Linked DNA regions of Cricetulus griseus. The protein of the gene in region 4 interacts with the protein of the main gene of each other region in a pairwise test. Links are inferred from orthologs where the notes say so. Each region holds a gene or a part of one and is shown on either strand. Other genes may lie near its edges.

Region 1 (4,138 bases), on a different chromosome or scaffold from region 4:
TCCCAAAGGCAAGTGCCGTGTGTGTGTGTGTGTGTGTGTGTGTGTGTGTGTGTGTGTGTGTGTGTGTGTGTAAGTGCAGGTCAGAGATTGATGTCAGGCACCACTTTTTTTTAAGATTTCTTTTTTTTTTTTTGCTTTTTTTTTTTTTTTTTTTGCTTTTCGAGACAGTGTTTCTCTTTGTAACAGTCCTGGCTGTCCTGGCATTTGCTTTGTAGACCAGGCTGGCCTCAAACTCACTATATCTGCCTGCCTCTGCCTCCCAGTGCCGGGATTAAAGGCATGTGCCACCACTGCCCAGCAGGATTTCTTAATTTTATGAGTATGAATGCTTGCTTACATGTATGTATGTGCAACATGTACATTCCTGATGCCGTCAGAGGTCAGAAGAGGGTGTAGGAGCGCCTGAGATTGGAGTTACAGATGGTTATGGTACCATGTGGATGCTGAGAATTAAACCCAGGTCCTCTGTAAGAGTGAATGCTCTTAGCCACTGAGCCATCTCCCTGCCCTGGTCTTATTTTTTTGCTGGGGATTTGAACTCAGGTGTCCTTTATGTTTGCACATTATGTGCTTTACTGACTGAACCACCCCCGGCAAGGCCTTGGTAACCTATTCTTTTAAGATGGTCTTTAGTCAGCACAACCATCTGAATATTAAAAATCGGAAAGAAAAAAAAAACTCTCAAACAGCCATCCCCATGCCAGAGCCATCAGGAGGAACAAGTTAAGGCCCACTTAGACCTTGCTCTCAGGCCTACTTTCAGGAGTGAGTAGGATATATGCAGAGGCCATAAAGGACTCTGCCCCTAGCAGGCAAATCAACTGAAGCCCTGCCTCCCTCTGCTGCCTTCAGGTATGCAGCTGTGGTTCCAAACAACTGGAAAAAAACTGGGCAGGCACTACAGCTCTTGTGAACATGATAATTACCTACATAATCTAAAGGGTGGCCTCCAGGAAGCCAAATACAATGGGATGTAGATAAGGCAGGCCAGAGTCAGTCACCTGGGTTTCAGGTGAGCTTGGCCAGAGAGCACTTGGGTATACTTCACAAGGTGCCAGTTAGTAATTTACTGCTATTATTTGATATTCCATAACATCCCGAAATGCGGGGCCATCAGAAATCCGTGCTGGCACTCTGGACCAAGCAAAAGCCTCTAACAGATGTTATATCTTGCATGCACACACTTTTGGATTAATTACTGTGTTCAGAAGTAACAAGTTCTAGCTTTCAAAACAACATGAACTAAAATACCATTTCTATTCCAACGAATAGTTATTCTTTAAAAATCCTGCACAGTTGCGGGGCGCTGGTGACACAAGCCTTTAGCCTCAGCACTCCAGAGGCAGAGGCAGGCAGGTCTCTGCCAGTTTGAGGCCACCTGGTCAATAGATGGGAGTTCCAGGACAGCCAGGGCTACTGAGAAACCCGGTCTTGAAGGGGGAAAAAAAAATCCTGCACAGACAGAAGACATCTAATCAGTCTTCTTTCTACTCCTTTGTGCTCAGTTACTTTCCCACGTAATAAGTACCCATCAGCCTAATGGTCAGTTTCTTTAAAGTCTCCAGACCACAGGGGAAAAAACACACATCACACAAGTTTTTCATGTAATGGCCTCATGGCTCAGGATAGCTTCACCAGGAGACTGCCAAACTCTACAGTTAAATGTAAATGTACAAACCAAAAGTGTTCCAAGTAAATCAAAAAGAATCCCAACTAGACTGGCACTCATTCAGTGCTCAAATACCCTACGACGGAAAAGGGGGTCTAACACAGAACACTGCCCACCTGGATGATCCCTTTGCGAAGGGCTCCAAGCTGTCAAGCCTAGGGGCACAAGAACAGAACTTAAGCAAACTGAAAAACCTGCAGTGGGAGAGGAAGATGTGAGCTCACATCTACCATTCAGGATTAAATAGATTTACATCAGAACAGAGCAGGAGTGTTTGTTAAACATCGTAATGAGTAGCCCTGGAGACCGTCAGCAACCTACTCCCCTTAATCACAAAACCCCAGGGCAGCTGCGGTCAAGGAAAGACGGCAAGAGCCAGGAATGGTGTGCAAACCCCGGACCAAAGTCATCTTCCCTTGAGGACCCAACAAGAACGCAGCATCGCTGGGGCGTGCCTACTTCCAGGTCTAATCTCTAAGGCCATGAGGTCCCCTGCCAGCCCCTCTGATCCAGTCCTGAAGAAAGAAAAGCCGACCGTCTGAGAGGGGGGCCTCCGCAAGCCTGGAGTCTTTAGGGAGAGAAGAACGCGGCTTTTGAGCCCCACTGGAGGAGAGAGGCAGTTGACACTTCGGATCCAACGTGTCTAGAAAACTATGAAAGTCAAAAGGACAGCATCCAGCCTTTCCTGTCTCTCCACACACCCCTAGGTCATGTTCACCAGGCAGGCTTGGCACTCACCACCGAAGACACCAAGCGTGGGAAGGACGGAAATGGGAGTCCGCAAAGCACCCCAGGAGTACGCCCGCATGGGTCCGGCCCGCTCCGGCCGCCCCTGGGGCCTCCCCCGCTCCTACCGCCGGTGCGTGGCCCCTTGCGCGCGGACTAGAAGTTTCGAGCGGCGCGCCCCCGCGAGCTCGGCCCCGGCGCGGCCTGACAGGGGTAGGCGCGGCCACCGACCCGCGTCTCAACCGTCGCGGCGCACCCCTCACCTCGACCGCCGCTGGCCTCGGGTCCCGCTATGAACGCCGCCCGGCCAGGCTGCGACTCCGACCCCTTCCCGTTCCGCTCCAGCCGAGCTCACTGCCCGGCCCTGCCCAGACCCGCCGCGGCAGCTTCTGCCGCCAGCCAAGACCGCGCCGCCCCCGCCGCGCCCGCTGTGTTCTTCCCATTGGCTGCCGGGATCAAGGCCCCGCCCTCCAACCCCTTCCGCTCCCCGGATTGGGCAGACCGGAGCAGAGGCAGCACGCCCCCAAGCACGCTCAAGGGGACTACTCTGGGTGAGTATTAGCGGCCTCCCCTGTCAGTCAAACGAGGAGCGCCTACTTATGCAGCTGAAAGGCCAGCATGGGTCACTCCCCAGGAGCCGCCCTGAGGCTGGGGTCTGTAGGACTTTATCTTAGACAGGCCAGAGTTCCGTGGTTTTCCTAGCAACCAGGAGCATTGTGGTGCCTGACCGAGAATTTAGAGAAGGTGAACTTTAAGAAAGTTTCATCGGATCTGCAGAGACTGCTGCTTTTCCAGAAGGCCCGGGTTCCAGTCCAAGCACCCATGTGCACGGTCAGTGACTTCAATCCAGGGAATCTGACGCCCTCTTCTGCCCTTTGTGGGCACCAGGCACGCACGTGGTGAGGGCAAACATACACACACACACACACACACACACACACACACACACACACACACACACACTTCTTTTTATTTAAAAAGTTTCCTCCAAGTCAGGAGTGGTAGGGCACGCATTTAATCCCAACACAGAGGAGGCATAGGCAAGCGGGTGTCTTTGCATTCGTGGCCACCGTGGTCTACATAGTGTGTTCCAGGGTAGCCAAGGCTACATAGTGAGAGCAGTGTCTTAATAAACAAAAAAGAAGAGGAAGTGGAGTGGAGAAACTTCCCTCCAGAGGACAAGCCTTCAGGGCACCAAGCAATGCACAGACATTTTGATTCTCACAGTAGTCCTGCCTGATAAGGCGTTAGCCCCAGGAACAGAGGGAAATGATAATGAGTCAAAAAAGCTAATAACTTCCTGAGCACTGCCTCACACTGTCAGAGATACCCGAGAAAGGGTCTGAGAAATTGATTGCAGGTAACTTTCTGGGTACTATGTGGAGTAAAGAGTAAATGGCGGTGGATAGTGGCTTGTAATCCACTCAAGAGGCTGCTACAAAAGAATGTCTGAGAGTTCCTGGCTAGCTTGGGCAACAGAATTAGACTCTAATTGGAAGAAAAAGAGGAAATGGCCCAGGCAAGCCAGGGATACACCGAAAGATACTGGCACAAATGAACAAATGAAGCTACATATGGAGATATATGCCTATAATCCCAGCACTTGGGGAGACAGAGACATTCAAGGTCAGTCTGGGATACATAATGAGAACCTGTCTCAACTTCCCTGCAAATTAACAGAAAAGGCCAGTGTGGTAGCATAGCACTTGGTAGGTAGAACAGGAGGGGTCAGGAGTTCAAGGT
Region 2 (3,500 bases), on a different chromosome or scaffold from region 4:
CATCTGCCCATTCCAGAGTCAGCAGTCTTTGTTTATTTAATTTCTCTAGAAAACACACCTCCTGGGCTAGGGATTCAACTTGGTGGAATTGACATGCATGAAACCCTGGGTTTCATCCCCAGAACTGCATAAACCAGATAAAATCCCAGGATGGAGACAGGAGGACCAGAGGTTGAAGCTGGGGCTGGAGACATAGCTCAGCGGTTAAGAGTACAGAGGATCTGAGTTCTGTTCCCAGCACTCATATCAGACAGCTCACAACTGCCTGCAACTCCAGCTCCAAGGGATCTATTATCTCTGTTCTTCACGGGCACTGCATTCATGTGCATATACCCACAGACAAGCACACAGATACGCATGCATACACATAATTAAAAACAAGAAATTGAAGGTTATCCTTTGCTACATAGTGAGTTTGAGGGCCATCCTGGGCTACATGAGACCTTATCTCTGGCATGGTGGTATATATCTTAGTCCCAGTATTTGGGAAGCAGAAGCAGGCAGATTTTTGTGAGTTCAACGCCAGCCTGTTCTGCATATTGAGTGAGTTACAGGATAACCAGGGCTATATAGAGAAACCCTGTCTCAAAAAAAGCAGCGATGAGGTGCTGAAGGGATGGTTCAGTAATTTAGAGCACTTCTGCTCTTACAGAGGACCCAAGTTCAAGTCACAGCACCCATATAGTGGCTCACAGCCATCTATAACTCATAAATTCAGTTCCAGGAAATATGATTCCTTCTTCTGATCACTGGGTACTAGGCACACATGTGGACACATACATACAGGCAAAACATCCATACATAAAATTTTTACATCAAAAGAAGCCAGGTATGATGGCTTACACCTTTAAGCCCAGAAGGCAGAGGCAGGCAGATCTCTGAGTTTGAGGCCAGCCTGGTCTACAGAGTGAGTTCCAGGACAGTCAGGGCTAAACAGACCTTTTCTCAAAAACGCACGCACGCACTCACATGTGTGTGTATATATGTGCACATATATACATTTAGTGTCTATGTTTCTGGGGGGGCGGTATGTGCATATGAGAGCCCTGTTGCTAACAGAGGCCAGAAGCATGGGATTCCCCCTATAGCTGGACTTACAGACAGATGTGGGCCACCTGATGTGGGTGCCAGCTTGTCTTTGGCTCCTGTTGAGTACACTGTCCATATTCCTTTTGAGACAAAAGAGTAGAAGATACATATTGTCTGTCTCACTCAGGTTTGCATGCCTTCTCCTGTTAGAAACTTCAAACTGGACCAGAGAGGTGGTTCAGTCGTCAGAAGCATGTATTGCATCCACATTAGGAGGTGCAGGATTACATGTAACTCCAGTTCCAGGAAGATCCAACACCCTCTTTTGGCATCCACAGTCACTGTACTCACATGCACAATCCTATCCCATCCCATATACACATAATTTTAATTTAAAATAATAAAAATAACTCTGAAAAAGAAGCCTCCTGACTTTACTATATTAACCTTGTGTCCTGAGAGCTAGATGGATTTCTTTCTTAGGTCAGTTTTTCTGTGTGACTTGTAAGGATCCCTCCTGACCCTTTGCCTTTCCTCCTCTCCTCAGGCCTTGCTGCTGCTTCACCGACGCTTGGCAATCTGTAAGGAGCAGCACCTGGTGGAGCCTGCTGAGCTTCTAGTCCTCCTTAACCTGTCTTTTGTGTACCTGAAGCTAGACCGACCAGCCATGGCCCTGCGTTATGGGGAGCAGGCTCTGCTCATTGACCAAAGGAATGCCAAGGCCCTCTTCAGGTGTGGACAGGTGAGTTGAAGATAAATGAGAAGGAAGTGGGGAGAGGGGCTGAGGCAATAACTCAGTCAATAAAGCACTTACCAGGCATGCCAGTCTGGTAGCCTGAGCTCATTCTCCAGAGCCCAGGGTGCTAGAGCCCCACACTGAGGAGGCAGAAACAGGTAGACCCTGGAGTTCACTGGCCAGTCAACCTAGATGAATTGGGAGCATTGGAGCCTAGAGGAAGATCTTGTCTTAAAAATCAAGTGGGCTGCTCCCTAGAAGGAAGCGAGGTTGACCTCTGGTCTCCATCCACATGTGCACTTATGCACTCCCACACAGAGCGATAGGTCTCACTTGGCCACTAGCACAAATTCTAATCTCAATCTAATGCCCTGTCCCTTCCTCACAGGCTTGTCTCCTTCTAACTGAGTATGAGCAGGCCCGGGATTTTCTAGTGAGAGCTCAGAAGGAGCAGCCCTGCAACCATGACATCAATAATGAACTGAAGAAGCTGTCCAGGTGAGAGCACAGACCACAGTGAGTGGTAGCTGTAAGAATTCTAGTTGCCCCCTGCTGGCTCAGAAGCAGCCATCCCTTCTTCATGGTCCTTCATTCATTGTCCTGACCTGGCTATTCCTGAGTGGGGAAGCTTCACTTCTAAGCATTTCCCTCTTTCCTGTTGTACCACCTGCAGATCAGCACTCCCTAGAGAAGTGGCTCCATGCAACTCCTGCGTGTGTGTGTGTGTGTGTGTGTGTGTGTGTGTGTGTGTGTGTGTGTGTGTGTGTGTGTGTGTGTGTGTAGGTATAGGACAGAAAACAACCTTGAGTGTTGTGCTTGGGGATTCAACAGTTAGATTGGGCTGGTGACTAGTCTCAGAGAGCCTCCTGTCTTCATCTACCCCCCACCCCATGCTGGAATTACAGACACTCCATACACTGGGTCTGGCTTTTTAACATGGTGCTGAGGATCTAAATTTGGGTCCTCACCTTACCAACTGAGCTATTTCTGTAGTCCCCCATGTGACCTTTAAAAAGGGTGTTGTAAAGCCAAGTATGATGGTCTACATCTATCCTAGAACTTGGGATATGCAGACCTTCTAGGGTATAAAATAAGACACTGTCTCAAAAACGAGGAAGCTTAGCAGCTGAGAATCCTTGGCATTCAAGTTATCCTCTGACCTCCATACATGGTGTGCACATGTACATACTAATAATATAATAATATAATAAATAAATGTGCAAAAAGCCTTTTTAGATCTCATCAGCACTCAGGAAGCAAAGGCAGGTGGATCTCTGAATTTAAGGCTACCCTGTCTACAGAGTGAGTTCCAGGACAGCTAGCGCTACACACTCCTTGCCTTGAAAACCCAAAATCAATTAATTTTTTAAAAGCTGTACTTAAGACTCTTACCTATTTCAAAATCACGTGAGACCCATTTTTCCTCATGGGCCTTTCTAGGACCACAAATGAGCTGGTGCTGTGTGACTCATTCATAAGTAAGAAGGACATTAATCTTTTGGAAATGTTAAGTTTTGGGAGGTCAGCAAAATGGTTCAGTAGGTAAAAGCTCTTGCTGCCAAGCCTGATGACCTGAGTTCCTTCTTAGGACCCATATGATGGAAGGAGAAAACTGGTTGATGCAAATTGTTCTCTGACCTCACAAAGACACTTGAACTCGCCCCCAATACATACAAGAAAAATGTAATTATAAAAATGAAAAATGAAAGCTTTATAAAAAAGTGTGACTTTTTCT
Region 3 (4,274 bases), on a different chromosome or scaffold from region 4:
TGACCCACGGGTAATGAAATCCTAACTTGAACAGCTTGAAAATAAGATTTATGATGAGTGTAGTTATCTGCAGAAATAGAAACTTTAATTAATGTGAAAATTTTATAGATAGACAAGAAAGTTTAATTAAAAAATTTGTGTTGTTGGGGTTCCAACCTGGGCCTTGCACATGCTAGGCAAGTGCTCTGACACTCAGCTATGTCCCTAGCCCTTAGAGAGAAAAATGTAACCAGTTGAAGGTTAGGTTTAAAAACAACAACAACAAAAGAATAAATAATGCCAGAATGAGCATTTACTCAATCAACTTAAAGACTCTTTTAACAGGAAAAACTAGAAAGAAGTGTTTCACTCATTTCCCATTAGGGAAAAACAGAGCACAGGAGGTTGGAAGCTCATAATATGTATTTTTAGATGTTAGGTTTGGTTCAAAGTAGGACGAAAAGAATTATTTTATTTAGTAGGAAGTGCTGATTTTTAGCTGAATTTGCTATCTTGTGGCTGTGATGACTGAGTGACTGTCACTGGAAGACATCTGGGTTTTTGTATCAAGGCCAGACTTGGCTATTACATTAACAAGAAAATTAAAACTTACTGTTGCAGGAGCTGGGGTGGGAGGTGGGGCATAAGATGGTCTTTCTGTTTGAAAGAAAATAAATAACTTCTTGTAAACAACTGAGATATAATACTATGCAACAAAACTACCAATGGTCCTGTTTTGAAGAAAAAAAAATGAGAGTATTTTGGAATTCCCATTCGCTAGGGCATTAGTCTTGTATTAACACAGATTGATAAATATAAAAATTGAAACTTACTTGACATTTTGGAAGATTAAGTTCTCAGTTCCTTAAGAATGAATCTGAGACACTAAAATAAAAAAAAAGAAAAAAAAGAAAAAAAAAGAGAATCAAAACTCAGCAAGCATAAGAGAATGTTTTCCTAAAGAATAGGGTAGTTTGATTGGTATTTCTGAGCAAAATTACTTCACTGTTAATCACTAGTAATCAAGCCTTTTGCATATTTTTTAACTAGTTCTTGTAGTCATTTGATTGATCAGAATTAAATGATGAAAATAAGTTACTGGGAAATTTAGAGTTATATTAGAGATGGATTTTTAGGTTTTTGCTTATGATATTGAGCCACGTCTTATATGGAAAACATTTTGCTGATGCCATGCAAACGTTTACTTAGACTGGTAAAAAAAAATAATGACAATAGAATGTGATGTATTATCAGGGTGACCCCAACAAGGCCTACCAGATACTGACAAATTCCTGATCAGCAGCTCTGCTTCTTTTAGGGGACACTGTTTATTGACGCAGAGCAATGTCCTATTCCTGGAAGTAGTGTGAAAGATAATCTGGTATAAAAACAAACTTTACATTGTCTTTTATTGGTAAATAGTTTTGTAAGTACTGGGGCAAATTTTTAGTCTACTTGGATGACTCGTATTGGTCCTTTACAGCCCATTTAAAAAATTATCCCAGGTATTTTCCTGATAAATTATCTGGGCAGAATAATTGCATCTTCTCTGTATCAGATAGGGATATGGCTAGGTTTTGTCTTGAAAGAGAGGAGGGATTGTCTAATTTATTACTGTATTGCTCAAACCTAGCCCAATTCTTCATAAATTTGGTCCTAGTGTTACCAGCTCACAACATGGACAGATGTGAGCTCGATCCTTACTCTACATACACCACAAATGGTGATGAAAAAACTATGACTTCTGGAGCACTTTCATCCAACACTATGTAAAACAAAATACTTTTTTTTTTCTTCTTCTACTTTTCAATTTAAGAAAATGCCTCAAATCATCAGGGTAAGAGTTCTGATGTGGAAGCAGCTTAGGTTTTCAACCCAGGCCTCTCTTTTCCTTCCATCAACACCTAGTAGGCCTTGCAGTGGGGAGCCCCGACAGAAACTGTAACAATGTCCGTGCTACCTTACACTTCACTGCGAATATGTTCAAATGATTGCTCTCCTGGGCTAAGATAATATAAACTCTTAAGAGTGGATCTAACCCTTGTGCCTAGCACGGAACTCAGTATTTGCTGAATAATTAATTACCTTACAAGGTAGGCTTATGACACAGTCTCGCTCACTACTCACAACCACCCTACCAGATACATACGGCTGTCCCCATTTTACAAATGAAGAAACAGTCTCAGGGCGATGAAGATAAAATGTCTAAAGCCAGAGGTGGATTTAAACCCAACCCACACCGTCCCGGAGTTCACTCCTCACTCCGGGCCACCCCGGGAATCATCAGGTCGCTGCCTGAACCAAAAAGGGGAACCACCTTCCTTCCAGGTGGGTGAGGAACCCCGCTGGCCTTGCCCGGAGGGCTTCCGGAGGTCCAAGGAGTTTGTGGCCCAGGATGAGCTTTTCTGGCAACCCCCCCGCAGGAGGGTGTGCATCGGGGCTCGGCCGGCGTCGGGGGTCCGGCGGAAAGGGACAAGCGGCGCCTCGGAGCAGCTGTCCCGGACGGGGCTTCTTTGCGACCCCGCCGCCGCTAGGCCTCACAGAGGCCGCACGGGCCCTAGTTCCCGCCTCGGAGCTGAGCCCGATCCCCAGCACCCCGCGGGAACTCGGGGTCCCGCCAAGCCGACACACCGGCGCTCGCCACCCTCCCCGACCGGGCTGGGCCCACTTGGAAACACTCACCCGCGGGCCGAAAAGGCGCCCGCAGCTCCGGCTTCGCTTCCCTTTGTCCCGCGCTCGCCCCGCCCCTCGCGCCGGAGCTTCCGCGCTCGCACTTTCCACACGCTCCGGGATTTCTCCGCGGGCCGCGGCCGGCTCTCCTCAGGCGATCGGGTCTTCCAGGGAGGACTCGGCGAGGCTTAGTGCAGCCGAGGATTTTTTTTTCCAGGCTCCACACTCTCCTCAGAACTCTTCCAGTTTGGGTCCCGTCCCAGCCGGGCGCCGATTCGTCACGGCGAGGAGGGCGGAGTAGGCCCGGCCGCGTTGCTTCAGCTGCTGGTTCGCGGCCGGGCGGCAGCCACTGCGCCGCGAGCGCGGCGGGGATTCCGTCTCCGAGGCGGTGGTGCCGCCGTGTGAGACCCGCGCCGGGCGAAGGCGCGCCGGAGCCTCTCGCGGGAGAGGGCGGGACGCAGCTCCCGCACCCCGGCGTCTCCCTTCGCCGTGGTCCTCACTACGCCGCTGCAGGATGGAGGAGGGTGGAGGCGGGGAGCACTCGGGTCGCCGCGATTAGGTCCTCGCCGGCGCCCAGCAGGGCTCCCTGCCTCTTCAGCCTCAGCGAAAAGCAACACGGGAGTTTTGTAGTTTTCCAGATGCTTCTAGAGGCTGAGTGATGGCGACGGGTTTCTGAGCTTAGGGCCCGCAGCTGGCAGCTCACTCTCACCAGGTCGCATACCTATGACAATTTACATTTCTTTCCAGGAGAACCAATTCAGCTTAGCCTGGCTTCAGACAGCCAAGCTCAACTGTTTCTTTATGATGCCCTCCTGGAACTTTCCCAGGCCAGTCCTTTCTTTGTAGTCCTGTGTCTTGAGATCCTCTGTATGGGACTCGGCCATCTGTTAATTTTGGAAAGTCTTGGGAACTAAGGTTCAGACATCTGGACGGGACCGTTTTATAATTACCCTTTGGTTTCTAAGGGCCAGGCTGGTAATTAGGTGCTCAGTAAGTGTGTGTAGAGGCACCTTTCTGGACCATTCCAAGGGCCTTTTTTTTTTTTTTTTTTTTTTCTAATTCCAAGCACTTAGGCGGACTATAGGAAGTATAGAAACACTTAGCTGAGGTGAGTCTGGGTGGAGGAAAAATGAACAGATGACCTGTGGTTATCTAAGGACAAAGTTATCACTTAGAGAAACTGGCTGAATACTGGGACTACCTGTTTTCCCTTATCCTGGTTGTGACAACAGGAAATGAGGTATCTTTAGAAGAAGTCTGTAGTGTCAGGGGTAAGTGATAATACTGTCCCGTTCTTCCGTGGCTCAGCATTTTCATACTCATGAGCAGAAATGAACGAGATGAGAGAGCACATTGAAAGACTAAAGGAGAGTTTTCAGATGAGTGGTCACAGCAGGGGTCCAGGATCTTTAGCTCTGCTCAGCAACTCCAGCCTTGCTACTTCCCTGCTTTGGCGATTGTGGGGGTGGAGTGATAGAAAAGGGGATGTGTGGGGGAGGAACCGTGTGTGGTGATATTTTGTTTGTGCTCCACCAAATAAAGCTTGCCTGAAGATCAGAGGGTGGAGCTAGCCACTAGTTAACCATAGAGGCCAGGCAGGCGTGGTGGTACACACCTTTAATCCC
Region 4 (4,215 bases):
ATCCCCAGCTCTCCAAAATCCACCAGTGGCAAGTTGTGTAGTTCTTTTCCAGGAGGAGACTGTAAACTGGGGGAACTGAACAGTCCTAGCAGAGAGAACTGGAGAGTGTTCAGTGTGGTGTCTGCTTACAACAGACAAGCGGTGAGAAACAGAAAGGGTGAAAAGAGCACCTCAGACAGAAAAAGACAATGTTTGTCCGGAAGGATTAGAGGGGGCTGTCGATTGGCTCCTAAAGAGTTAAACTGGGAGCACATTTCATTTGACATTGCTTCAGATTATCACTGACCTAGGAAAACTTTCGGTGAGCTAATGGTTAGGAAATTGAGCGAGCTGGACTAGTAAAGAGAGGTGGGAGGAGGGTCTGAAAAAGGAGGAAAGAGACACAAGTTGGAGCAGCACTTGTGTGATGCCAGGGCATCAGAAATTGAGTCCATCTCTGCTTCAAGCTTTCCATCCCTCACTCAACCAGGTACCTTTCTTTTCCGCACTTAGAACAGCTTTATGCTATCATTGGGGCACAGCCCTGAAACTTCCAACCTGGCATCAGTTTTATTTTATTTTATTTTATTTTATTTTATCTTTAACAACCTATCCTCAGACAACTGAAAGGGGAAAACCATGTTGCGCTCCCGGGCGCGGGAACTGCGAGTATCGGAGTTTGAAAAGCTAGACTGCTCTAGCCTTTTCCCTTCTCTTGAATTCTCATAAGTTCTCCTGGTCCGCAAGGTCAGGGAGCAGTTCCGGAGCTCCTGCAGGTGACTCCCACCCCTACCCCCACCAAGAGCTGAAAGAGACTCGGGACGGGACACTTGGTGCTGGCTTAGCGAGACTGAGAGTGGGTGCGCGCCTGGCCATTGGGAGCCTATGGGACAGATCGAGGTGGCCCTGCTTATTAAGGCTCTGGACTCTCCACTGGCTGTCGTGGAAGCTCCCAGGGCCGGGCGGGCGTGGAGCAGCCGCTCCTGTCCTGCCAGCAGTTGGGAACTGGAAATGAGAGAGCATGGTGGCGCTGAGTGAGCGGGAGTTTTGGAGAGAGTTTGCATGTGGTCAGCTCTGGGCTCCTAAGCCAGCCCCCAGCTCACATTACACTCTATTTATAACCTCTCTGAGCCATTTCCCCCCCGTGAAAGCAGTTCTCTGGGACCACCTTCTTTTGGCTTCCACCTCTCCCACATTTGACATCTGAGCAGCTGCGAGGGAAGCTCCTCCAGGTCCCAGTGTTTATATGTGCAGGAGACTGGCCGCTAAGGCTCTGGACTGGGATTAGCCAGCTCTGCTCAAAGGCGCGACTCTTAGGGAGTGTGTGAGTGTGGGGGGAAAAAAGAGTTCTAGGATTTCCAGTGAAAAGTCACAGAGCTTGGTGGCCTTTGGGACCATCGTGAAGTCTTCTGCCTGGAAGTCCAGACTTGCATGCCATGGAACACCCCCTCTTTGGCTGCCTGCGCAGCCCGCACGCCACAGCACAAGGCTTGCACCCTTTCTCGCAGTCTTCTCTGGCCCTCCATGGAAGATCTGACCACATGTCCTACCCCGAACTCTCCACATCTTCCTCGTCTTGCATAATCGCGGGATACCCCAACGAGGAGAGCATGTTTGCCAGCCAGCATCACAGGGGGCACCACCACCACCACCATCACCACCATCACCACCACCAGCAGCAGCAGCACCAGGCTCTGCAGAGCAACTGGCACCTCCCGCAGATGTCCTCCCCGCCTAGCGCGGCTCGGCACAGCCTGTGCCTGCAGCCCGACTCGGGAGGGCCTCCGGAGCTGGGGAACAGCCCTCCGGTCCTGTGTTCCAACTCATCCAGTCTGGGTTCCAGCACCCCGACCGGGGCCGCGTGCGCACCAGGGGACTATGGCCGCCAAGCGCTGTCACCCGCGGATGTAGAAAAGAGAAGTGGCAGCAAGAGGAAAAGCGACAGCTCAGGTGAGTGCGGGCAGAGCACCTCTAAGGAGAGTGTTCCCTGGGCTGGGAAGGGGCAGGGATTTGCGAGAAGGTTCTCACAGACAAACTAAGGAATACCTAGCTCTTCCAGTCTCAGTGGCCTGGCCGAATTCGTCCTTGCAGCTTCGGCCCTGTAATTTGGGAGCACGTGTTTCGCTGAGGTTAATATATCTACGTCCAGCCCCTTCAAAGCCCTACAAGACCATAAACTAGTTTTCCAGCGGCGGTGAAAAAAGAGCGAGTGACAGTATGCGAAATCGGTTAAGGAGCATGGCGCTCCATCCACGAGTTGGGAGGGGTGTGAGCCTTGGGATGTTGCATCGGCTGGGCGTTCATGCCTGTGTGCATGCATGCGCTTCTTGGTTTTTCCCTTACAATTTCCCAATTCTGAACAGCTCGAGTTTTCCCATCCTTAACTGGATTTCTAGACTATTGCTCAATATCTTGAACTTTAACTGGGATTTGACAAAATACTCGAAAGAAAAGTTTTATTTTTTTCTTTTTTTAACGTTTCGCTTTCAGAGTTCCGTAAATAGCATTCTACTTAAAATAGTAATAATTTTAAAAAGCATTTAACTTATTTGCCGAAAAAGGCACTATCTAGAAATCTAGAAGTATTCAAGAAATACATCTAAAAATCGTGAATAAATAAATGGATGAGGATTTGAAGAAAGGTCATTCTTGATTAGACTCAGGTGAGGCTATCCTATGGGAAAAAAACAAACAAAAACAAAACAAACAAAAAAATCCCTGAACTTCGAAAGTGGAAAGTAAAAGCCTTCCTTGTTTGAGTAGAGTTTTGAGATGCTCCGGAGAGCACAAGAGCAGCTCGGACAGTGGTGGGAGAAGATGCAGCAGAGTGAACAGCGAAAGTGTGGATTACTTGAGCAGCTAAAGCAAAGGTTTCTCCCCAGTGGTTTCCAGGGCCTGAAAGTTCAGTAGCAAGTGCATTGTGGCAGTTCAGAGAAACTGAGTTTCTAGACAGCACATAACGCCCTTAGCTATAGTTCTCATTATTAAGATGTTTCTCTTTTTCTTCTCCTTCTTCATCCCCTCCTCCTCCTCCTTTTTAATTGCATCTTGCTCTGAAGGAACATGGCAACCTGGGTACATACTTTGGAAGATGTCACTTAACTAAAAAAAAAAAAAGTTTGCATCTATTTAATCTTTTGTGTTAGTCTATGGAGATTTAGGAAATGTGAATCTGGGCATTGGAAATAATGGAAAAGAATGTAGCATGTTAGGCAATTTAGTCCAGGTGTTCTGCAGTGTATGGCAGTAACTGCTGTGTATTTTAAATCATGTTGAAAAATGACAGAAACTTTTCTTGGCCTCCTTGTGGGGTGACCCTTACCAACCTGATGGTTGAACTTTTATTTTCCTAGGTCGGGGATGACTTTTTAATGCTCCACAATGATTAGCTGTGTCTAAGCAATTTACCAGCACTGTCATTGATTTGCAGTGGTTATCTTTAACTACATAGGAAATTCTAAGCTATTGAAAAGATACCAGTGAAAACGTTAGAATGCACTGGGGTTCCCCAGGCTGGGCATTTATGAACTGGAGTGCTTGGATGGCCTCAGCAGGTTGGTAGCTACCACAGCAAGAGCCAGAAGCACTTTTTCTTTCTGCAAGGGGAAACCATGGCCAGCTTCTTAGCTGAATCAATGCCCTAAAGATTATTTATGCACTCGAAGGAGTTTTTGTTGGGCCACAGTTATTTTTAGTTGCAGAAATGGAGAGTAGGACTAAAAAATTTACATCCTTAAGTTATTTTCATAAAAACCGACTTAAAATTGACTAACAGTCGTTTCCATCACATTTACCGATGGAAAATAACCACACAGCAAAGGGAAGCTTGTTTTCATGTTGTGAATCTCATTTTAGAACATAGAAACAAGCAAACAGAATAGAAATTTGTGTCAACCGGGGGTGTAGTAACGCTTGACAAGAACGGGAAGTATGATCATTAGCAAGGATACTATCATGGGGACCAACGTAGAAAGAATGTTTCCATTGATAGGCCATCACAGGCAAGCATCAGTTGTCTTGGTACACTTTGAAAATAAAATCTATATGTTCAATCTCTGAGTTAACATCGATTAGATCATAGGTAAGTTTAACTCCAAGCCATCTATCGCCTTTTTCAGTGAACATTCAACTGAAGATCAAGTCATCTGATACTCTTGTGTAAACATTTTGACTTACTAGAGGATAAAGTAACATAGAAAATAGTTATAATACTGTTCTTTTATCAACGCATAAGCC
Region 5 (3,500 bases), on a different chromosome or scaffold from region 4:
GCTCACTAGACACCATATAAAAGTTAAATACATCAAGCAGGCCATGTACCTGTAGCCCTAACACATAGAAGGCAGAGGCAGGATGACCAGGGGTTCACAGTCACCCTTTATCCAATGAGTTTGAAGCCAGCCTAGGCAACATGAGATCCTCTCCAAATTCAAACCCCAAACAAAAAAAATTACATGCATCAAATAAATGTTCCACCTAGTCACATATACAGATGGGGATCTTGAACCAAACACTACAGACCGAACAGGTCACACTTCCTGAAGCAACAGATAATTTGTCTTAAAGAAAAGCAAAAAAGGCACCATTTATGTTTCAAAATTAAAAGGATCTCATGGAGTCAGATTAAAATGGATCTTAAGTTTATCAAAATGTGTAGCAAAGTATAAGGTGTTTACCTTTGTCTTCTAAATATACCATCGACATATTAAAATATCTCGTATTACTCATTTAAAAAGCAAAAGGAAGGAAGGGAGGAAAGGAAGGAGGGAAAGAAAAAGAAAAAACAAATCTCAAAAACAAAAAGGCTAGATCCAAAAGGTAAAGGCCATCAATCCTGTGGGTCACATAACAGCAAAAACAACCTAATGAGCTAGGCAGCCACCCAAACAATGGCAATTTCTCAATAGTGGAAGGCAGTGAGAGGGCCCAAACTAAGACGACAGCAAATGCAACTGTGAATCCAAGGCCACCAGAGATAGATTCTTTGTGACCTAGAGACAATCTGGCAAGAATTATGGGGGTAAAATCCCATCTTAAAGAAAGTAGGGCCAGCAAAAAAAGCCCCAGCCACACAAGCTCAATGACCCACTTAAAGGTGGGAGAAACCTGACTCCAGTGTTCTCCTCTGACCCCTATATACTCGTTGTAGTACCTGCACTTCCCCGGCTCAGCACGTAAATAATAAAAAACTTTTAAAGAAATGTAAATATTTCTAATGTTATAATAAATAATGTATAAGTAATTCTAATGTAAAGGCATCATGTCCATTCTATCAATAAAATATATTAGCTCAAATTTTTCTAACTTTATAATGGAAATCAAGTAATAAATTAAATGTGGTTTCTTTCATTTCCTTGCCATTATTTGCCAACAAAATTAAATGTTTTCATAGAAAAACATTAAAGTCACCTTGATGAACTAGTTCTCCTACCCCCAGGCCCACTTTTGGTTTTCCAGGCTGGCCTTTAACTACTATGTATTCACAATCTTCCTGTCTCAGCCTCTTGAGTGCAAGGATTTTTGTTTGTTTGTTTTTTTGTTTTAAGACAGGGTTTCTCTTTAGCTTTGGAGCCTGTCCTGGAACGAGCCTGTCCTGGAACTTGCTCTGTAGACCAGGCTGCCTCCCCAGTGCTAGGATTAAAGGTGTGAGCCACCACCACCTGGCTGAGTGCTGGGATTTCATATGTGAGTTACCACACATGGATGAATACTACTTCAATTTCATATGTGTAAATACATATGAATGTAATATGTATGTAAATGTACATATAATATGAATGTAAATATATATATTGAAGATAACAAAAACAAAGGTGCCATGTTGGGCATGACCACATAGGCCTAGAGCATTTGGGAAGCAGAGGCAGGCAGATCTCTTAGTTCAAGGCTAGCCTGATCTACATAGTGAGTTCCAGGCCAGTCAAGTCTACAGAGTTAGACAATGTCTTTAAGAAAACAACTTTTAATTGGCATTATTTTGGCATATCTATAACCAACATCTTAGAATCTTTTCATTCTAAGCAGTGAAAATCAAGTCCTTGGATTATTTTTCCTAATCACAGAGTCAGTTGTATATTCATCATAGAAAACCTATAAAGTAAAAAATTAAAATGAGTTCCCCATTATCTTACTGTAACCATTTATTTTCTCCATGGGACTCGCATACTAATAATGCTAGTCAATCCTTACTGACAACCGCTACTATGAGTTGGATTTGAAGTATCCTTCCAAAAGCTTATTTGTAGGAACTAGAGAGGACTCAGTGGCTGGAAACACTGACTGCCCTACAGAGAACCAGGGTTCAATTCCCAGCACTCACATGGACACTCAAGTAGCTGTAACTCTAGTTCCATGGAATCTGATGCCCTTTTCTAATCTCTATAGGCACCAGGGATACATGTGGCATATATAATACATACAGCCAAAACACTCACATACATAAAATAAAAATTTAAAAAGTAAATGGAGAGCTTTGGGTATAGCTGAATCAATGCTACACTTGCTTGGGAGATCCTGTACACTGAAAGGTGATTTGGATCATAAGGAATTCAACCTAATCAATGGATTAAACCACTCATGGTTTCTTAATATGATGGCCTTTTGGAAGGTGTTTCAAATGTCTAGAGATGGACCTAGTGAAATGGGTAGGGCTCTGTTCTCAGGGGCTACATTCATCTTGTTCCAATCCCCTTCTTCCCTCTCTGATGCCTGGTAACTGTAAGGCGAGCAGCTCTGCTCTGTCACCATGACATTTTTGCTTGGACAGGCAGAGAAGTGATAGAGCTAGCATAGCCATGAGTCAAAGTATATATTTCCTCCTTTTAAAGTGTTCTCTTGTATATTTGAAATAGCATTGAAGCTGACAGAATTTCCCATACACTGTATGGCTAGGAGCTTTATAAATAAGATTTCATTATATCCTCACAATAATTCTACTCAAATCATAGGTGAATATTATCATTTTACAGTCGTATCAGCCAGATTTAAAGAGGATAAGAAATATGTCACAGACACGGAGGTAAGTGGTAGAGATGAGCCCAGCATCCTTGAACACTGGACCACTCTAGTCCATATTAATATACACACAGACATAATGCTGCATTTTTCTTTGAGCTTAATTTCCTAAGGCACAAAAATTATGAATAGTTTCTACATAGCTATCTTATAACATTTGGTTCGATGATAATTTACTTAATTAATCTTGCTTTACCAGATCAGATATATCTTTGTATAATATTCAGAACGTGTGGTTCATTCAACAGAAAAAAAGGTAAAATTAAGACTTGTTTCACACTTCTAAAGTAAATTAAAAGATGCACTTCAACTTACTCTTTTACTGAGGCAAATAACTGGCCACATACTGCAGCCTAATGTGCAGCAGCAACACAGGCAGCCACAAAGCAACCACCGCACATTTACAGGAAGATTCTTCCTAAGACAGCTGTTAACTCTGTTGATGCTGGCTTTAAATTCCTCAGGAGCTACCTAAAAGAAGGGAAAAAATGCAACTGAGATGATAAATGCTGATAAATGGGTCTTAGTGCACATTTTTCTAATTTCTAAGGAAAACTAATTTGAGACATATAGACGGTAGATCAGTAAGAGAGACACTCGCCGGGCAGTGGTAGTGTGCACATTTAATTCCAGCGCTTGGGAGGCAAAAGTAGGCGATCTCTGAGCTCGAGGCCAGCCTGGGCTACAGAGAGTTTCAGGACAGCCAGGAAACCCTGTCTCAAAAACAAAACAAAACAAAACAGAAAGAGGTACTCAC
Region 6 (4,023 bases), on a different chromosome or scaffold from region 4:
AACCAAATGGAGAAAAACTAGGTAATAATAAAAGACTGGAGACCTGAATAAGGAGTGTAACAAGGGGAATTTAGGATTGGTGGCGTATCTCCAGATCCCAGTAATGGAGACTTACATACAGGCTTCCATATCAGTGATTCATTCAAATGTTCAACTTTCTATGTGAATTAATTCCAGTAACATTGCCTACTCTCTCTCATCTCTATTAAATATGCTTGATACCACTATGGGTAGCAGAAATAACAACAAACAGAGGTATTTATTCAAATGCAACTTTCACTCCAAGAAAAGAAATACAAAACTAATTAATGTTATAAGATATGATAAGTCCTATAAAGAAAAATAAGACCATGTGGGTATATTCTCATTAACACTAACATGAGCCCTCGAGAACTGCTAATAATGAGTCTCAGGGACCAGATGCTCACTACTATATGTTTTTGGTTTGAGAAACATGATTGGATGAGTACAAAGTACAGAACACACGCACACACATACAGTACTCTTCAAATTGAAGGAGCTATGTGGAAAGGTATTATTAGTCAAGGAAGAAAGAAGAAAACAAAACAAGAAACCCCAGCAAAGTTCTCTGCATGATGCCTAAGGTGAATCTCCCCACACATCAAGTCCTAAAGACTACAGCAGTAGACAGTCCTCCCATCAATCAGGGGCAATAGGCCTCCTTTGACTCAAGACACAATGTACCTGGAGCTTGTGACTTTAACCCCCCCCCCCTTCTTCTTTTAAAATTCTACTTATATAGCCCAGGCTGGTCTTGAAGTCACTATGAAACCCAGGCAATTTTATACCTCCTCCTCCTTTTTTTTTTTTTTTTTTTATTTGAAACAGGGTCTCACTGTATAATTTATGGCTGTCCTGGAACTCACTATGCAGACCAGAGATTTGCCAGCCTCTACCCACAGAGTACTGGGATTAAAGGCATGTCCATCATAGATGGCTTAAACTTTTAACTCTTAATTCTCCTGTCTCAGCCTTTTGAGTAGACATGGGCCATCTGATTCAACCATTCTACAACTTTATGTCCAAATACATAAGTATTTGTTACCATGGTTACTGGCTAGATTTAGAAGCAGCACCTAGTAAAGTTACAAATGTAAGCCTAGGAAACACCCGTGGGCCCTGACATGTTATATTTGTAAACTGTGTGGCCTTGAGCAGTCTCTTGGCCTGTGAGAAATCTTCCAATTGCTTGTCTGTAAAATGAGAATGGCTGTATCTATCTCAGGGTTGCTGTGCATCTGGAACAAGCATATTACAAAACAAAACAAAAACAAAAACAAACAAACAAACAAAAAACACACTAAGGTAGTACCCAACAAAACAGACTTGTAGGCGATAAGTGGAACTGTTCCAGAAGTAAACATCTGTAACATTAGATCACATCTCTAGTCCTGTATTGGATCACTGTTCTAGTCCTGTATATGCCCTGTTATCATGAGGAGTATTGGATCACATCTCTAGTCCTGTATATGGCTTGTTATCATTTGGAGTAATGGATCACAGTTCTAGTCCTGTATGTGGCCCTGTTTACTGTTTGACTACCATGTTGGCAATTACCTAGATCTGCTTATTTTCATACCTAATAAAAATAATTTTCACACTGTGCTACACTCTATGTCTTCCTCTCCCTTGTTCACCAGCCCTTCAATCAGGACGGTTCCCAGAACAGGAGCCACACCTCTGGCACCTTGTCACCCTGTCTCCCTACCCACGGTAAAGTCACAAGAAATAGTGAATTTCTATGACTGTCTTGATCCCAACCCAGCTGTAATATTTTGTTAATCAGGATAGAAACTCAGTGAAAGGTAAAGTCATTTTTACATTAGAACTTGAACATCTAAATTAACTTTCAGCTTAAATGCTCACCTCATTTTTGTATGTGTTAAAAATGCCAGCTTTTTCATGCCCTGAGAATGCTTTAAGTTTTTTTTCCTTTCAGTTAACATACAATGACTGCATGTATTTATGAAGCACAATGTGATATTTCAATACATTGTAGTTAGATCTGAAAAAAGAAACAACCTATCTATCCCTCAAATAAGTGTCATGTCTTTGACAACATTCAAAATATTCTCTAGTAACTACTTTAAAACATGCAATTGACTGTTACCTTACTAGGTTACAAGAATAGTTATCTTACTAAGCAAAAAAAAAAAAAAAAAAAAGTCATTCCTCCTATCCAGCTGCATTTCTGCAAGCATTAGCCATCACCTCCCTATCCTGGTCCCCTGGCCCCAAAGCCTGACAACCGTTCACCTCCTTTCCACACTGCGATCCACGTTTTCGTTTCAGTCTGTAGGCATTTTCTAACTACTATAACAAGTAGATACTATCTCATTCTGAAAAGCCTCTACTCTGTAAAGAGCAGTGTCTTTCTACGCAAGCTTTGAGCTCACAATCCTCCTGCCTCGGTCTCCCTGGAGTTGGGATTACGGCATAAGCTTGTCTGTTTTCTACGCAAGCCCTCCAACAATTATCTACGGAGACCCAGCAAACACCACCAGGCGCCGCAGTGTCCGCCCGGGAGGGAACCGGGCTCCCCTCCCCGCCGGTGCCCCGCAGCCCCGGGCCCGCGGTCTCTCACCTCCCGGTCGCCACTCTTCGCGGGCTTGCGGTGCACTGCGAACCCAAACAGGACCTGCTCGTAGCTGCCAGCGACCAGCTCCATTCAGCAACGCACGTGCGGCGCAGGGCGAGCCGGCGTAGAAGCCCGAGGAGAGGAGGCCGGCTCTTTTAGCTTCGGCGCGCACATTACGCGTCATCACCCAGGGGCACCTTTTAGGCGCCTGCGTCTGTAGCGAGTGAGGGCACGCTCGAAGGTCACGTGGCCCTTCTACGTGGAGCTGGAGGAACGAAGCCGCAGGCAGGGGCGCTCACAGCAGAGAGGAAAACGTGGTGGCAAACAGGCAGATCCTGAAAAGCCGTGAGCAGGGCGGGCCTTGGGAAGTGGGCGGGAAATACTCCGCGAATGCCCCAATTTCCGATGGGTCTATGGAAGGGGCGGGCCGGCTTCCGGCTTCCGGTTTCCTCGGCGTTTGCACGCACGGGTTCCCGCTGTGTCTCCCGGGCGGGTTCCCTCCTTGAACCTGCGTTCCTCCCGCAGCTCCCGTGGCTCGGATTCCAAAGCCAAGGGTTCCGCTGTTGTGCAGAGAGCATTTGGGGGACCTTTCTGTGTCGGGGTCGGCACGGTGACGGTCCGGGCTCCCGGGCGCCGCCGGAGCTGGCGGTGTCCCCTCGCTGGACCGAGGGCCCGGCCCGCAGGCCAGACCGTGCCGTGCTCAGCCCTTCTTGCCAGCAGGGTTCTGGGATCTAAACGCTAGTGAGCTGCGGGCCATGCTGGGCACGAGATGAAAGATTGCCTGGAGGGAGGAGGACGGGAACGTTCAAAGTGGAAGACTTAGGTTTGCTCCAGGGTACACCTCCACCAGGGTTAGGAGGCTTAGAGCAGAGGGTAACGAAAGCAATGACAGCCTTTTTAAAATTTTTTTAACATTGAGGATTCCTTAAGTTTTAGACAGGGTCAGGAACTTTTTGGTTTTTCGAGACAGGGTTTCTCTGTGTAGCTCTGGAGACCAGGCTGACCTCGAACTCACAGAGATCCACCTGTCTCTGCCTCCCGAGTGCAGAGATTAATGGCATGTGCCACCAACGCCCGGCCAGGGATGTTTTAAAAATGAGTTTTCCCGAGAACCTCAGAGGTTTAGAGCATACGCCATTGCGGGTGGGTTAGTTGGTGCTTATGCCTGGTCGTCTTCACACAAGCCTGTGAACGAATAAAGTCCCTAAGTGCTTAGACTTTATTTCTTTGAGACACTTGTTCTCCAAGGCTACAAATTATCTACATAGTTAACCGGTAAAGTTTTGAGTATGGGGAAATGATCTTTGAATTGTGAGGAGAAGTTCTGTGTTCTTCCAGTTTGGACTACTCTACTGACAAACCCGCACACAGTCCAGTCGAAACCCCTGTGTTAACTAATTTCTGTGTCTTCAGTTAGTGCTAAT
Region 7 (4,159 bases), on a different chromosome or scaffold from region 4:
GAGTAATTAAAGCTGTTCATTGCTCCCTGTCCTCGTTTTATCACTGACCTCCCTGCTAAATTTATGCAGACAACTGAGAAGTGCCAAAAAAGATACTCTGGTATGATACTGCATTAGCGATTGGACCCTTCCAATCCAGTCCTAAGAAACAGATCCACAGCTGTCAGGCCTTATTACATTGCTACCTCTGTGGGAAAATAGACAAGATACAAAAGCCCCACCAGCTTTACATTTGAAACTATGACTTTAACACATTTCCTAGCATGAAGGTGAACAGACAGCTAGCTTCCTGGCTTCTAGAATGTTCTATTATCCTCTAGTGGCCTTTCTTATGGAGGATGTTCTTTGCAGGAGTGTCCTGGATGTCTCCCATGCAATTCCACACACAACTGTGAGTTCTAAAAGCATTTAGATACTTGAAAATGAAGTATGCAAAAACCAACATCAACAAAAAGCTTTTAAAAAAAAAACCTGCTGTTATTGTTAACACTTTAAAAAACTACTTTGAGCCCAAAACATCCAAACTCACATTGATGGATGATTTAGACCCTGGAGATCTGTTGTTTATCAAAACTATTCCTGATACAGTTCCCTGGGAAAATATTTCCTATTAACAATTTTTGGGGTCTTAGGTTATTTTAAAAACCCTCTATGGAATTTTTAGTTCCACATATAGTTCTTTTCACTTTGTCCTGAGCTACATCATCCCAATAATAAATGTCCAAAATCCCAGAGTTTGTAAGGAAACAAAAAGCATTCCCCACTTACTAGAGTCCCCCTACCCTGTGACAGACATGTAACTAAAACTAAAGCTTCTTCATGAGTTATTCTTATTTTACTTGCTTTTTGTTGATTAAAAAAAAGTTTGTGTTTTTTTGACAAAATTATACAAACATTACAAAATAGCAAGGACTTACTTGGGTTTGTTTTTTTTTTTTTTTTCCGAGTAATTTTTGGGATCATACCATAAACCGAAACGGAACAATCACTAAAATCCCACAGCAGGAGGGATTTCCTGCTGTGGATCATTATATTACATTTGCAAAAGTGACTGTCCTTTCGGGAACTTTCATACTGTATCAGCACACATTTTCCCTGGGGCACGGTGGAGAGGTGTACAAGTGTTTTTGTTGTTGTTGTTGTTTTGTTTTTGCCTACTGTTCTTCACAACTCTTTTCTAACTCATAAGGGTGAACGCATCGGTTTCCTTAAATCGGAGGCTGACAGCTCACTGACTATCAGGGGCCCTGGAACATGTGTTGCTGCCCAGTTGAGCTCAGAGGCAGTTTTTTCGGAGCGTCCTCGAGTCCACATCCACGATCGCTAAAATCCTGCTCCGGGTTTTGGCTCAGCCCGCGTGATTGACACATGATATCACCGGGGGCGGGTCCCAGCGTGGAGGTGGAGGTGGCGGCGACGCTGAAATGCTGCGGAGCCCGCGCGCGAGTGCTCAGCACGCAGGAGTTTGCGGCGGCCCCGCAGCCAGAGCTCTGCGGGCTAAGAAGCAGCTGCGCGCGACGTGCATGTGCCGGGAAGGCCGGCCCCGGGCTCTGCACTAGGCAAGAGCCTTGCCCTCCCGCCCAGGACCTGGCGAGATCAGGTGAGAATGGTGCTTTTTTTTTTTTTTTTTTTTTTTTCAAGGACCGGACGTTTTCGGATCTGGCTCTAGCTTGGTGCCCCGCGCTGGGCGCCCGGCCCTGCAGCTGGAGAGCTGGCTCCTTTCGCTTTCCCGTAGCCGGGCAGCGAGTTCCGCGTGTGCGGACGCGGGCTGGCATCGCCGCGCACCCGCGTGTCTGTGCGCATTGTTGGCGACCGAGCCGCCGGGCGCTCGTGCCAGACCTGACTTTGCAGTCCCCGAGTGCGGGCTTGCCGCGAGCAGACGCGCCGTTCGGACGCGCTTTTCACTGCAGGGCATTCCGTGGGGGCAAAACGTGCACGGCCGCGTGTGTCCCGGGCTCGTGGCTGCCCATCACCGCGAGGAGGACAGCGTCCCGGGCTGGCGAGGGACTCACGTGTTTCTGTCTCTGCTCGTCTGCAGCCGGCGTGGCGACTGCGGGGACGCGGACCTGCGGGGACCCGAGCGCCCGGGACGACGCCGGGCCGCGCGCCTGACGACCGGGACGGGACGGTGCTGTGGAGCGGGCGCCGCGCGCACCCGGCGGATGTCCCGGAGCCGCCCTCGGCCGCCGCCAACCGCGGAGAAGCGCCCCTGCCCCGGGGCCGCCGAGGCCGCAGCGCGGGCTATGAGCGCCCGGCCGCCCCGCCGCGCTTGATGCGGCGCGCATCCCGCCCGTTCGGCGCCCCGGGCCGGCGCCGCGGAGGCCGAGGTGAGTGCGGGCGGCAGGTGCGGGCCGGGGCGGGCCGGGCGATCCTGGCGGTCGTCGCGCAGCCCGTGCCAAGCGCGCGGCACCCGATGGCGCTGGGGAGCCAGCGGCCGCCTATGCTCGGAGCGCAGTGCCTCGCGACGCGGGGAGAGGGCGCTGCCTCCTCCCGCCCGCGAGCTGTTTTCATTCATAACTTTCCCCAGCCCGAGCCGCTGCGGCTCGGTGTCCCTGAGGCCTATGTGCGGGCTCACAGAATTGTCCGCGCGCACCCGGCTGCTCTCCGGGCGGGTGCGGGCGCCGAGGTGCTCCGCCAGAGCGAACTTGCTTGGGAATGCCCTGTAAAATGCGAATTAAAGCTATGCCTGGGGGTTTCATTACTCAAGCCATTCCCACGTCTTCCTTTCTTGTGGATGAAACTTGGCACATTTAAAGTCTTCGTTTTGGAGTTTTAAGTTTTTTAAAATAGATAGGGCACGGGAGTAACGACTGGCTGTTTCCCATTGTCATTTAGGGGTTCGGTACTAAGACGTGCTGTTACAGATGTGTTTCTCGTGTTTGGGGAAGGTAGAATAAACTAGAGGGGCCCCCAAGAAGCTAAACATGTAGTCTAGGAGCATCCGTAGCAAACTGCTTTTCCTTGAGACGTTTTGTTTTCTTTTGGCACCTAATTCAAGTGCCGTCTTGAATTAGGGTGCATCTGTGGGTTTGGAGAGCATTTGTGTGAAAAATATCCTAGATACCTACTGCCCGGAAACGGGAAAGTCAACTTTTGCTCTGTTTTAGGACGAATGCATTATAAATTGTAAATTATTTCTTGACGTGAAAACGTGTTTGTTGTGACGAGATATTAGTGTGTTTACCTTATTACAAAAAGCAGCTCGATTCAGGGCTTGTTGAAAATCAAGGTCTGTGGTGTAGATGAATGAAAGGAAATAAAGATAATGCAGAGACTAGGGCTCCTCTCCCTGCTCTGTAGGTTTGACACTTGTGCATAGAAGTTATTCATGTTGGTGAGTGAGCCTTGTTTAACCTTTAAAGAACCTTCTATCCAGAGTTTGTGTGCATGCTCTAGCGCCAGCAAGACAGCTAGAGCCGCTGCCTTCTCCATTCCTTGTAGATTCTTTTTCTCATCTCACAGATGAGCTTTAGATCCGGACTTGTGCCCAAAACGGCCTATTGAGATTCACGTGAGCTTGGAATATCCAGTGTTTTGGAAATTGCCTTGATTAATTTTCTCATTAATCTAAAGCTCTTAACAGCGAACAAATGGCCAAGAGGCCACAGCACTAAAGCCATTCTTAATCTTTAAAAAGTAGCTGACATTTTCCTTACGTGAACTGCCAGTGAACTGATAGTGAACTCTCTGAGAACAGTTCCAGGGCGCGCACTGAATGCTCCCTTCGAAGGCATATTTCATTTTAATTATTTGTTAGGTTTGCAAACAGGAAGACATGACTTCCTCTGCTTTTTAGAAGCTGGAGAGCAACTTCTAATTTTTGTGGCATGAGGTCTTGCTTGCTTTCTTCCTGTGATGTGGCCCTCCACAATCCTTGTTTTTGGAGTTGGACTCCTGCCAGGATTCTGCATCATTGAAATCAGCCGATGGAGGCGATCATTGCCAGGTGGTTTGGGCAATTTGTTACTTACAGGCGCCCCCCTCCCCAAAATGCTTTCTCATTTATTTTCTCTCTCACTCTTCTTTAGGATTTCCGATGCATGCCAGGTTTCTGCTGACTGCCGGAACCGGAGATCACTCCACATGGATCCCCCAAGTCAGCATGGCAGCCACACTTCCCTAGTGGTGATTCAGCCACCGCCTCTGGAAGGCCGTCAGA

What was found.
Region 1: the proteins of Meox2 (region 4) and Pacsin2 interact in binary tests that used the Homo sapiens proteins (3 or more experiments, as listed by UniProt). The two-hybrid records come from large-scale screens. The link is inferred for Cricetulus griseus from reciprocal best matches to the Homo sapiens genes MEOX2 and PACSIN2.
Region 2: the proteins of Meox2 (region 4) and Fkbp6 interact in binary tests that used the Homo sapiens proteins (3 or more experiments, as listed by UniProt). The two-hybrid records come from large-scale screens. The link is inferred for Cricetulus griseus from reciprocal best matches to the Homo sapiens genes MEOX2 and FKBP6.
Region 3: the proteins of Meox2 (region 4) and SWI/SNF-related matrix-associated actin-dependent regulator of chromatin subfamily E member 1 interact in binary tests that used the Homo sapiens proteins (3 or more experiments, as listed by UniProt). The two-hybrid records come from large-scale screens. The link is inferred for Cricetulus griseus from reciprocal best matches to the Homo sapiens genes MEOX2 and SMARCE1.
Region 5: the proteins of Meox2 (region 4) and cysteine-rich hydrophobic domain-containing protein 2 interact in binary tests that used the Homo sapiens proteins (3 or more experiments, as listed by UniProt). The two-hybrid records come from large-scale screens. The link is inferred for Cricetulus griseus from reciprocal best matches to the Homo sapiens genes MEOX2 and CHIC2.
Region 6: the proteins of Meox2 (region 4) and Pak1ip1 interact in a two-hybrid assay, tested with the Homo sapiens proteins (2 studies listed by BioGRID). The two-hybrid records come from large-scale screens. The link is inferred for Cricetulus griseus from reciprocal best matches to the Homo sapiens genes MEOX2 and PAK1IP1.
Region 7: the proteins of Meox2 (region 4) and Spry1 interact in binary tests that used the Homo sapiens proteins (3 or more experiments, as listed by UniProt). The two-hybrid records come from large-scale screens. The link is inferred for Cricetulus griseus from reciprocal best matches to the Homo sapiens genes MEOX2 and SPRY1.

Annotation. Positions count from the first base shown.
Region 1 is NC_048595.1:380,363,478-380,367,615, forward strand, and holds the start of Pacsin2 (protein kinase C and casein kinase substrate in neurons protein 2), read right to left. Parts: upstream 2,801-4,138; 5' UTR 2,659-2,800; intron 2,540-2,658; exon of another isoform or gene 2,408-2,539; intron 1-2,407.
Region 2 is NC_048597.1:114,392,199-114,395,698, reverse strand, and holds part of Fkbp6 (inactive peptidyl-prolyl cis-trans isomerase FKBP6), read left to right. Parts: intron 1-1,576; coding exon 1,577-1,771; intron 1,772-2,153; coding exon 2,154-2,263; intron 2,264-3,500. UniProt on the Homo sapiens protein: Has an essential role in spermatogenesis. It is required to repress transposable elements and prevent their mobilization, which is essential for the germline integrity.
Region 3 is NC_048600.1:113,343,731-113,348,004, reverse strand, and holds the start of SWI/SNF-related matrix-associated actin-dependent regulator of chromatin subfamily E member 1, read right to left. Parts: upstream 2,801-4,274; 5' UTR 2,662-2,800; intron 865-2,661; 5' UTR 820-864; coding exon 813-819; intron 637-812; coding exon 593-636; intron 1-592. UniProt on the Homo sapiens protein: Involved in transcriptional activation and repression of select genes by chromatin remodeling (alteration of DNA-nucleosome topology).
Region 4 is NC_048598.1:164,594,808-164,599,022, reverse strand, and holds the start of Meox2 (homeobox protein MOX-2), read left to right. Parts: upstream 1-1,415; coding exon 1,416-1,929; intron 1,930-4,215. UniProt on the Homo sapiens protein: Mesodermal transcription factor that plays a key role in somitogenesis and somitogenesis and limb muscle differentiation. Required during limb development for normal appendicular muscle formation and for the normal regulation of myogenic genes.
Region 5 is NW_023276807.1:141,527,611-141,531,110, forward strand, and holds part of cysteine-rich hydrophobic domain-containing protein 2, read right to left. Parts: intron 3,215-3,500; coding exon 3,059-3,214; intron 1-3,058.
Region 6 is NC_048596.1:260,643,183-260,647,205, reverse strand, and holds the start of Pak1ip1 (p21-activated protein kinase-interacting protein 1), read right to left. Parts: upstream 2,801-4,023; 5' UTR 2,690-2,800; coding exon 2,606-2,689; intron 1-2,605. UniProt on the Homo sapiens protein: Negatively regulates the PAK1 kinase. PAK1 is a member of the PAK kinase family, which has been shown to play a positive role in the regulation of signaling pathways involving MAPK8 and RELA.
Region 7 is NW_023276806.1:112,081,566-112,085,724, reverse strand, and holds the start of Spry1 (protein sprouty homolog 1), read left to right. Parts: upstream 1-1,359; 5' UTR 1,360-1,600; intron 1,601-2,217; exon of another isoform or gene 2,218-2,327; intron 2,328-4,028; 5' UTR 4,029-4,083; coding exon 4,084-4,159. UniProt on the Homo sapiens protein: Inhibits fibroblast growth factor (FGF)-induced retinal lens fiber differentiation, probably by inhibiting FGF-mediated phosphorylation of ERK1/2. Inhibits TGFB-induced epithelial-to-mesenchymal transition in lens epithelial cells.